Linked DNA regions of Drosophila melanogaster. The protein of the gene in region 1 purifies or fractionates together with the protein of each later gene. This does not show direct contact. Each region holds a gene or a part of one and is shown in the gene's direction. Other genes may lie near its edges. The genes, in order: CTCF, Sgf11 and mip130.

Region 1 (3,757 bases):
AAATATGTACTCACATAGATCACCCAACTGACTGTGAATAGCATGAACATATCCTCGATTGTGGTATCGGGCACTGGAGTTGCCAATGGTGTGCTGGATCTGATATTGGCAAGTCTCGAAACTTAGACTGTGATTAGATTAGGCTAGATAGATTAAACTTATGAAATTTATGATCTTCCACAGAAAGCAAAAGACGGTGACGAAATAGTTGCGATGGATGTTTTGCAATTGTCCGCTTCGTTGGTGCTGCTCACGCACAGCGTCTACAACTTTAAATTGGCTTCGACCATAATTAATGAGACAAGCAATGCTAATATTGCCGACTATCGTAAAAACCTTTCTAATAGGCAGCGGTAAAAAACGTTCAATGAGATACATTCTGTCGTAAACAAGAGTTTCTACTTGTATTTTTTTTACCATCAGGCGAACCTTTGACAAGGCTGCCAAGGAGACCGTTCGGATGCAAGGCAACACTCGCGGCAAACTGGACATTATACGCAACGTAAACGAAATTTCGCCACAAGAGTTTAATGATCTTTTTAAGATCAACAAAAACTTGAATCAGGAGGGCGTGCGATACTCATTCGCACCCGATGGCAAAGGATTTTTACTAAATGGCGATGTGCAGACGACGGGTGCGGAATTGCGAGCTAGTGTACAACATAACCAAGGAGGGAATGTCCTAGGCAAAGTTAGTCAGCCCATTCCCGGTAGCCATGCGGGTTCTGGTCGCCTTCAACTGGGCGGCGTTAATCAGGTTTCCCGTCTAATCGGACCGCTGCCCACATCCCATCCTCGACAGGAACCCAGTACCTATGCCGCCGGCGTGTTCGCCTTGGAGCTAAGCTCTGTGTTGGTGGGCGGTGTTGTTTTCGTACTGGAGAAATACGGAAAAATCATATTTGAGCACGTGATCAATGCTGAAAGTTTTGAGAGCCTAATCAACATCATGGCCAATAAGCTTGATCCAAAAGTCTTTGACCATATAATGCTATTGACCAGAGCCTTCATGGACACCATGCTGGAAGACCTCACCTCGGTGCTAAAGTTCTTTATATCAACGGAATCCGTTCTTTACCGCATTTTGTTGTACATTTTACGGAACTTCGAGGACGTGCAACTTTCGGTTATTGCGGATCACACTTGTGAGATCGTAGAAGCCGTAAGGGTGTACTTCATGTCCCTGAATCCAAATGCGTTCCCGGGTCTCCTTCAGAAGTGTCCGAAATGTATCGGCCACTTCAGCGTTTGTCCCTTGTAAGTGTTTAACGAAATGGTTCGTTTAACATTAGAATTCAAGGGCCATCAGCATGTCATAATTGATGCCCAATTGTTTAACCACAAAGAAACGTTAGCTAGTTCCGCAAATAATCAATGGGATAACTTACTTAATATGAGCACAAATTGACAAAGATGAAATTGTTTTAGCATTTAAATAAAGATTTTATTAACCCTGTTGAAATAATTGTAATAAAAGGAGAATTTTGAACCGGAATGGTTCTGATTTCCGGTTTTCGAACACAGAATATGTGAATCATTCATTGTGTAAAGGGGATTTTTTTTAATCTTTAAGAGTAATTCCTAAATTTACAATCTGATGTCATCTATACTATGGTATAATAGCAACAGCCATACCACCAAATCATTGAATGCCTTAGAATATAAGTCATAAATTCAAGTATCCCATAAGAACAACCCCAATTCTGGTGACAATAACAAATCCAGCCTGCCCTAATGTAACCATTAACATCTGCTGCCGAATCCGTTATTCCCACCAAAGGGTCAAAACCGCTAACGCAGCTCAAGTTCTCGGCTGATCAGTACCCATGAGCGATCCATCCACTCAAGAGGGCACCCAATCCAACAGACATAAACATCCGCAGGGGCTTTCGCGACATCAAAACCGCTTACGCAGCCCAAATCCTTGGCTTATCCAGTATCCAAAAGAATACAGATTATATTTTTTATCTAATAAATTACCGTGGATTCGTTATTATATATTTTCTGTTATCAAGAATTAAAGATAGTTTATATAGAGATGACAAGATACGAAACCAATCGAACTATCGATAGCTGGCGGTACTGATGCTACATGTCGCCATCTTTTATTAGAAATGGGCAGCTGTTTCATGTGGACGCAAATTAAATTGTAGATTTAACAACAATAACGACAACCGGCGTCCCTTTCAACATATTTTTTATTGGCAACCAAGTGTCGGTAGGTGAATTGAATCAAGCGGGATTACAATTGGTCGTTGCGAGAAATCGATAAGCGCCCTCTTCGGGATCCCGGTCATCCGCTGTGGGTCGCCACCAAAACAAATCCAATTTGTCCATAGGAATGCCAAGGAGGACAAAAAAGGACGAGGACCCCGAGGATCTGCAGACCTTCCTCAACAATTTCCATAAGGAGATCGAAGGCAACAGCGATGAGAAGGTGGTAAACACGATTTTGGAGGCCATCAGCGCCGAGGCCATCGACTTGGATGAAAATGGTGCGGAGGCTGGTGGATCGAAACCGATGGAGGAGGCGGAGGCTGATTTGGATCATGCGGAGGAAGCGGAGGAGGAGGAGGAGGACGACGAGGATAAGTATTTCATAGATGACGAGGGCAACTGCTATATCAAGACTACGCCCAAGAAGCAAAAGGAGCTACAAAAGAAGCTCAAACAGGCGGCTGCCAAGCCGGGGAAAGCTACACGTTCCGTGGTCAGTACAGCCACCAATAAATGTGAGTTACCCTTTGCCATATATGTGCGTGCATTTGTATCACTTGCTCGACTCTTTTTAAGCCATCAATTTGCGGCCAGCCAAATCGACACCGAAAGCGACTACTTCGAAGCCTCCCCCAGAACCCAAGGCAATTAGCGTTCGACCAGCCCGAGCAGCTGCAGCCAAGGCGAAGCAATCGGCGATGCCACCGCCACCGGCATTAGTGGTCAAAGTACCGGCACCCAGGGGCAGGCCTAGAAAGAACCCTGTCATACCGAAGCCTGAACCCATGGACTTGGAGCGGGAGCTCGAGGAGCTGGTAGATGAGCCCGACATCAGTTCAATGGTGACAGAATTGTCGGACTATACCGTAGACGAAGCTGCCGTAGAGGCAGCAACAGCTACGCTGACGCCAAACGAGGCTGAGGTCTACGAATTTGAGGACAATGCGACGACAGAGGATGAGAATGCCGACAAGAAGGACGTAGACTTTGTGCTAAGCAACAAGGAGGTGAAGCTGAAGACAGCTTCTTCTACCAGCCAGAATTCGAATGCATCGGGACATAAGTACTCATGCCCACACTGCCCGTATACGGCGAGCAAGAAGTTTCTGATCACGCGCCACTCACGAAGTCATGACGTCGAGCCATCCTTCAAGTGCTCCATCTGCGAGAGGTCCTTTCGATCGAACGTGGGCCTGCAAAACCACATAAACACGCACATGGGCAATAAGCCGCACAAGTGCAAGCTCTGCGAAAGCGCCTTCACCACCAGCGGCGAGCTGGTCCGTCACACTCGCTACAAGCACACTAAGGAAAAACCGCACAAGTGCACGGAGTGCACATACGCCAGCGTGGAACTGACCAAACTGCGCCGCCACATGACCTGCCATACGGGCGAGAGACCATATCAATGTCCGCACTGCACCTACGCATCGCAGGACATGTTCAAGCTGAAGCGACACATGGTTATCCACACCGGCGAGAAGAAGTACCAATGCGACATCTGCAAGTCGCGATTTACGCAATCTAACTCACTAAAGGC
Region 2 (3,107 bases), about 11 Mb from region 1:
CCTGATGGAGAAGTTTGAATCGCAGTTCGAAGACCTGGACGTCCAGAGCTCGGTAATGGAGGGCACCATGTCCGACACGGTAACCACCTCGGTGCCTCAGGGAGATGTCGACAATCTGCTCCAGCAAGTGGCCGACGAGGCTGGCCTCGAACTCAACATGGAGCTGCCCAGCGGAGTTCAGAGCCAATCCGTTGGAGCCTCGACAGCAGTGTCCCAAGAGCAAGACGAGCTCACCCAGCGACTGGCACGTCTCCGCCAGGCTGAATAAAAATAGCGACGCCCTGCCCGTTGAATTTCTGTTTTAGCAATTAAGTACATTCAAAATATAAATAAGTATAAACTCAGTGATTGGAAGTCTATCGATGCTGCTTTGTCTACCATAATCAGAAGAATTGCCATGAATCTTTAAGTGTAAGTGTGCTGTTTGTATAGGCTTCAAACGGATTATGATTTACATGCTTTTCTAATGCAATATACGATAATCATGTTTTAAAGGCTTTGTTGTTATAGTTATTTGAAGACCTGCCAATTTTTGTAACTTGTTTACTTGGAAAGATATAGCATAATTTGGAAATAGAAATGGTTCTGCAGCAATCACAACTTTCATTGCTTTGGTTACTATAATTCATTTCTGGTCTTAGCTTTTATTTGTCTTAATATTATATTTAAAAGTATACAAGCCCTTTATCTTAAAACTAGAACACGCCAAGCAATCGCTATGACTCAGGTCAACAGTGGAGGTTGAGGTTGTTGATGCGGTGGTGCAATGACTGGATTGGGATTGATGGGTGCCTGTTTGGCTTTTTGCTTTCGGGGTTTCCGGGCAGCTGGAGTATTGGGTCCAGGCTCAGACCCGGGTGCTCCTGTTTCATCCGCCGCCTGCTTGTTTTTGGGCTTCGGTCCTCGACGCTTCTGCTCGGTTTTCCCTTTGGGATGTGGAGCCTCCATGGGAACGGATCGCCAGTCGTCTCCGTGCTTATCTAGTCGCCGTTTTAGAAGCTCCACGTCATGATTGCGCCTTCTTACTATCTTTTTGATCCCATTTACTCTGGATAAAAGGTACTGCACATTTTTGTTTACGTTTCGTGGAGCATAAAAATGACGGTTACCTCATCACACATCGCTCATTTTCCGCCTGAATCCTTTGGCACCTGTCATACAGTTTTTCCACCAGCTGTTTGTACATGAGTTCTTTCTTATTTAGCAACATTTTATACAGATATTGGTTATAGTTCAATATTTAGAAATGTTTTTATTTACGCCATGGCTCAGTGTGGCCAGATGGGCGATTTTCTTCTTGCTCCGTCTGTCGGTACAGGCGTTGCCACGTCATATTTATTCAAAAAAGGACTAGTTCACTTATTGAACTAAATTTAGCAAAAGTGCATAAAAACTGCTTGACATAATTGTCTTTAATTTAAGATTTAACTGGTCATAATAATTACTTTACATACTCGTTTTATGAAATGACAAAACCTGATGCATTTAAAATTATAAGTTAATGAAAATATAAACTATTTAAATTGGTTAATAATATAAATTTTATAATTTGCTATAACGGTTAAAGCTGTTACTTTTAGATGCAACTATTTAAATTGAATATCTAGTTCCTTAAAACTATTTACCCCTATTTGCACCAGCCTGGCAACTCTCTCATTTTGCAAACAGCCGTGTTAAGCAAACCCACAATTAGTAACTTATGTAGTTCCACAACAACAACCGGCATGCCAAACAAATCTTCCAGAGCAGACAGGAAGACAGCCAGAAGCAAATAGATATAGTGTTTGCGCCAACTATTATGTCTGCAGCCAACATGCCGACGACAACAGGAGCTCAGGGATCGGGAAACCAAGTTCCCACAACTAGCACTACGATTGTAAACCACTTCCGGGAGTTGATCAAGGAACCGAAGAACCTCGACGAGGCGGCCAACTATCTGTACCAGTCGCTGCTCGACGACGCCGTAGTCGGAATCTTTAACGAGACACATCATCTGCGAAAGTCAGGGAATCTGGCCGCCCTGGACGGAGTGCCGGAGGACTCAACCTATCGAATGTGCGAGATGCCCAACCTGGACATATTCGGCATCTCAACGGCCAAAAAGCCAATGGACTGCACCTGCCCCAACTGTGATCGCCTGGTGGCCGCCGCCCGCTTCGCCCCGCACCTGGAAAAGTGCATGGGCATGGGTCGTATCTCGTCGCGAATTGCCTCTCGTCGCTTGGCCACCAAAGAGGGCGCCACATCCGCCCACCTGCACTCTTCGGGAAATACCGGAGGCACTGATGATGAGGATGACGTGGACTGGTCGTCCGACAAGCGTCGAAAGAAATCAAACCAGAACTCAAGGAACAACGGCTCCAAGAAGAACAATGGCAAAACCTTTTAGTCAGAGCTAACAATCATTTTCGTAGTTTATTCTGCCATAAAAGTACACCTTTAAATCAGTCACCAATGTATTCTAAACTAATGGGATTTTGGTGATCGACCCCTACTCTTCTTTGAGATCATTTGAATAGGACAGCAGTTAGTGGCAATATCTAATCAATTAATATCTAGATATCATAGGACAAGGGTAATATAACTTTTCAGCAAATAGGCGCTTTTAAACATAGACTTTCCTGGTGCTAAATGAAGTAATTCAATGTAATAATATGAAAGCAAGCCTTAGTTTTATATTTTACAACTTAAAGAGTATATATTTTGGTTATTTTCCTTCCTTATCAATGGCAAACACCCGGATATGGTCGACCACTAGGGGTGTCCAGTCCGAATTTCTAGACAACTCCTCGAATTGTTTGTCAGTTTTGGGGTGGGTGTTTAAAAAGGGCTTGTGTTTCATTTCTAGAATGTCGTCATTGAAATTAACATTGCCGCCGGCGGTTAGGCCAAGGACTAGATGGCACTAAAAACGAAAGATCATAGAGATATTACATCTTTTAGAGGAAGGCGTCTTACCTCATGTTTTCGAAATGGTTCAAGAAGTGTCGGATTGTTTACTGCTCCGAAGAACTCGCCATCGAACTTAAAGATAATTTTGTCAGTCTGCCAGATAATAGTCGTGAAATCCGTCCCCATAGTAAATTTCCCCTGGCGTACAAGCGAAT
Region 3 (3,757 bases), on another chromosome or scaffold:
CGGGCCAAAACGCCTCCAGGGACTGAAAGACGGGAAGGGTGACGCGGCCTTTGTTCATGCCTACCCACACGTACCAGTCCTCCTTCCGCATGTACTTATCAATGGCCGCGCGAGCCTCATGGAATAACTCCAAGAGTTCTGGGCGATTGAGCAGGACAGATGCCTTAACTAGGTATTCAAAAAGGGAATCCACTCCTGCTCCGATACCAGAGTCGAGGGCGGTCCAACGACCGCTCTGCACGTCGATGTGATTGCCAAAAAGTCCAATGGGCGAGCGATATGCCCATAGAGCATGTACCGCCTTCATAGCAACATCCTCGTAGATGGTTTTCCCGGTCAACCGGCTAAGGGTACCAAATTCGATGAGGAATGTCCCCACGCCCGCCGTACAGGTTATAGAGGTCTCGCCCTTGGGCACGCCATAGCGCAGGTTCACCGTGCCATAAGGCATACCCGTGTTCGTGACGAAGGCTGGCAATAATCGTCGGGCCACATCCTCCGCCAGTCGCAGCAGAGGTCCCTTGCAGGGCCATCCTGGCTCTAGCTCTACGCCAGCACGCTTGGAGAGCAGATGCGCGGACAGCAGCCCGCCCACGATGCGGATGTTTGTCTCGAACACGGACACGTTGATGTCCCTGTCAAAATCCATCTTCTCCTCGAGCAGTCTTGCCGCGCGGCGGAATTCCGTGAAGTTGCCCATGGTGGCCAGCGTGTCCAGAGCGTCGATCAGTGTCAAGGAGTAGCTGCCCCAGGTGTCGTGGCCATCGCAGGTCAGCGGACGCAGTTCATCGTAGTTGGAGGCGTGGCGCAGGTAACCATCGTAGGCGTGCTGGAACATGCGCCGCACATCCTCCCTGCAGATTCATTGCCGGTTAGGATTAGTATGTCCGAGTTTAGCCCTAGCAATGACCCACCTCAGTTCCAACTTTCTTGCCTTGGAATACTGCTTCTGGCCGCTGACACCGGTGGACAGCAGGACGAGGAGGACCGCGCAGATGAGGGTGCCCGGATAGCCGTTGTTTCGGGGTTTTTGCTGCATCGTGGGACAGTCAATCAATCAGGGCCGCTAATTCAATTATGGGCATGGTCAGTGTTCCATAGCCAGCGTGGATGTGGGATGTGTGGAAGTCAAATGCGGCTACGTTGACGCAAAATCACAACAAGGGCTGATTCGGCGGTGGCATCGACCGCCGAATGCCCTACTAATTCCGTTCGGTGAGTGTTTTTTTATAGAGCGCTTAGAGTAGCAAACGGGGGAAAGAACACAAGCCAAAGAGCTTTTTTAAGGTAACAACCAAACACTATAGGCTAGCAAACACTGTATTCTCCGCCAATTCTGAAGTACGTTAATTTTACCCAACAAAATCCCTAGCAATAGGATATGTCATTCCGTAGGGTGCAATCAGCTGTTGCTGATCGAATAACTATCGAAAGGGTGGTCAGATCGAATTTGCATGGTGGTCATTGCTTGTTAAAGGAATACAACAGCTCAGAATAGCCGTAAAATCAGCGCGGCAATATTAAAGTCGGGTTGGAAAAATTAAATGGCAATTTCTTTAAGAATTCAAAAAGTTTGTGATGACAAATATACCGATTGTTTGTCACTGCTTTGCGCGGCACACGTTCCTTTATACTTTTATTCGCGTCGAGTTGGCAGCACATACCAGTTTTTTTTGTGGCCATTCAAAAGTGTGTGTTCGTACGGGTAAAAAGTGATTTAAATTCAAAATATTCAGCGAAACGACCGCCTCCAATAGAAGCAACTGTACCCTATGGTAAGTAACTGCCCTCTGCACCCGTTTCACACCCGGACATCCTCCGGATGAGCTGACCAAGAAATCCGCAGCCTTTGTTACGCTTCCGACTGCGAATTGCAGTTCTGGCGATGGGCAGCGATGTGTTTCGGTTTTGAATCATTCTCCGCGTAAAAAAAACTCAGAAAGAGGGTCGACTATAACCTCGCGGAGTAACTGCATCACGGCCCGTGTGCCTTTTGTACTCCGCGTAAGGCGATCGTTTAAATGCAATCGCGTATGCTTAATTGTCCGTTGGGCGAAAAGTAACAACATTGTGGGTCTATACATGCGGGATTGCCTCTGGCTGACCAGAAACCACATTGAAACCATCCCGTTGACCGTAGATATAAGCGTGTGCCATTTGGGATCTGGAAATCGTGTTTCCACCCAGTTGTTTGCATATTTATAAACAATTAAAGAAAAATATTAAATTTTTTGGTCAGGGCTGTCGCCCCTCGCATGGCATCGATAGAAGAGCGTCCGGAGCTGCGGTTGCAACCCTATCCGCTCACGCAAATCTATCGAAAAATTTTACTCCACGGTCGATTTTCGTTGCTTTTTTTTCACACTCGTGTAAAAAAAAAGGAAATAGCTAAGTAAATCGAAAGTACAGTGCAGTGTTTTGATCCCGTGGAGTGCATGTTCCAGCGGAAAGTGTGTGCAACAAATATGAGCAGTTCGCAAAAGTGGCGAGCAAAAGCAATAACAAAGTAGCAACAGCAACGCAACGTGTGTGTGTTGTAAGCAATCTGTACAGCGGAAAGGTGTTGGTGTGTTGGTGTGCTCGGGGGGTGGTGTGCGTTTCGCCCGTCCCGTGTCCATAAATTAGAATCAAATCGAATCGAAATCGACATTGAAGTCCGCTGCTCCGCCACCGCGATGTCCGTCGACCAGGATCAATAAGCAGCGTCACCACCAGTAGCGGACCATCATTAAGTTCTCCATATCGAGAGCAGGCTGACTCGGAATCGAACTCGGATTCGGAATTGGAATTGGAATTGGCATCGGAATCGGAATCCATAGCGGAGGAATCACGCGCGGCAGCCAGCCCAATACGGAAAACTGCTGAAAAATGTTAGATAAATGCCCAGTTATCTACAATTATTATGGCTTGTCCCTGTGTGCGTGTCCAGGTGTGAGGGTGTGTGTGTTTGTGTGCGATAGCAGAAGCAAAATCCGCTCAAATTGCGATGCCAAATAGTCGGCCAATTAATTGATCTTTCAATTGGCGACATCAGGCGCCCTCCCATATACCCAGCTCCGCACGAAACCCGATATATATCCGCGGATTGAGTCTCTGCTTTTGCCGCACATATGTATTGTATAACCCTTGTTTATCTTTGGACAATCCGAGGTGGAGTGGAGTACAGTGGAGGCTGGCCAAGTTGGACACATGTGCCGATAAGGTGGCGTGTGCTGGAACGAGTGTCCCCTGTAATGCGGTCTTATCTGAAGAGCTTTGCAGGTCACTCCGACTGACAAATTCACCTGCAAGCTAGGAGGGGAAAGCCCTGTGAAGAACTCTCTAACACGATAAAGTCATATTCCTGATTGATACAACTATAACACACAGAAATCACTATCAGACCAGAGAACCAGCTCGCAAGACCCAAGACTGTAGCTATACCAAATAATCTATCCATAAAAATAGGAAGTTCTTATCTTATCACATACTCTAGGTAAAGATTTAAGATGGATCTCTATAAATACTTTTGAATTTACAACCCAATTTGTTATGCTTCTCCTGTAAGTGGCCCAAAAATCGTCAGTTAAGCATATGAAAAGTCTCGACAATGTGGCTGCACTTTGTTCCTTTAATTGTTCTTATATTGTTTACAAATTGCATAAGCTGTAAATGTAAACTTTGCTTAGTTCGATTTCGCTTATTCCCGAAGTCTGTTTAAACATTCAACAGGAAATGAGAAACTGAGCTTGTTTATAAAACGTTAGGCAACATTACC

The links.
Region 2: the proteins of CTCF (region 1) and Sgf11 purify together in Drosophila melanogaster (affinity purification with western blotting; one study listed by BioGRID). This does not show direct contact.
Region 3: the proteins of CTCF (region 1) and mip130 purify together in Drosophila melanogaster (affinity purification with western blotting, with the first as the bait; one study listed by BioGRID). This does not show direct contact.

Annotation. Positions count from the first base shown.
Region 1 is NT_037436.4:7,355,042-7,358,798, reverse strand, and holds the start of CTCF (CTCF), read left to right. Parts: upstream 1-2,085; 5' UTR 2,086-2,218; exon of another isoform or gene 2,219-2,339; 5' UTR 2,340-2,341; coding exon 2,342-2,732; exon of another isoform or gene 2,733-2,793; coding exon 2,794-3,757. Other genes in the region: pst (pastrel), read left to right, coding at 19-108, 184-353, 424-1,261.
Region 2 is NT_037436.4:18,680,380-18,683,486, reverse strand, and holds Sgf11 (SAGA associated factor 11kDa), read left to right. Parts: upstream 1-1,650; 5' UTR 1,651-1,798; coding exon 1,799-2,389; 3' UTR 2,390-2,450; downstream 2,451-3,107. Other genes in the region: Chmp1 (charged multivesicular body protein 1), read left to right, coding at 1-268; CG32202 (uncharacterized protein), read right to left, coding at 724-1,048, 1,110-1,210.
Region 3 is NC_004354.4:1,906,581-1,910,337, forward strand, and holds the start of mip130 (Myb-interacting protein 130), read left to right. Parts: upstream 1-1,658; 5' UTR 1,659-1,772; coding exon 1,773-1,775; exon of another isoform or gene 1,776-2,247; intron 2,248-2,339; exon of another isoform or gene 2,340-2,870; intron 2,871-3,757. Other genes in the region: Edem1 (ER degradation enhancer, mannosidase alpha-like 1), read right to left, coding at 1-854, 915-1,039.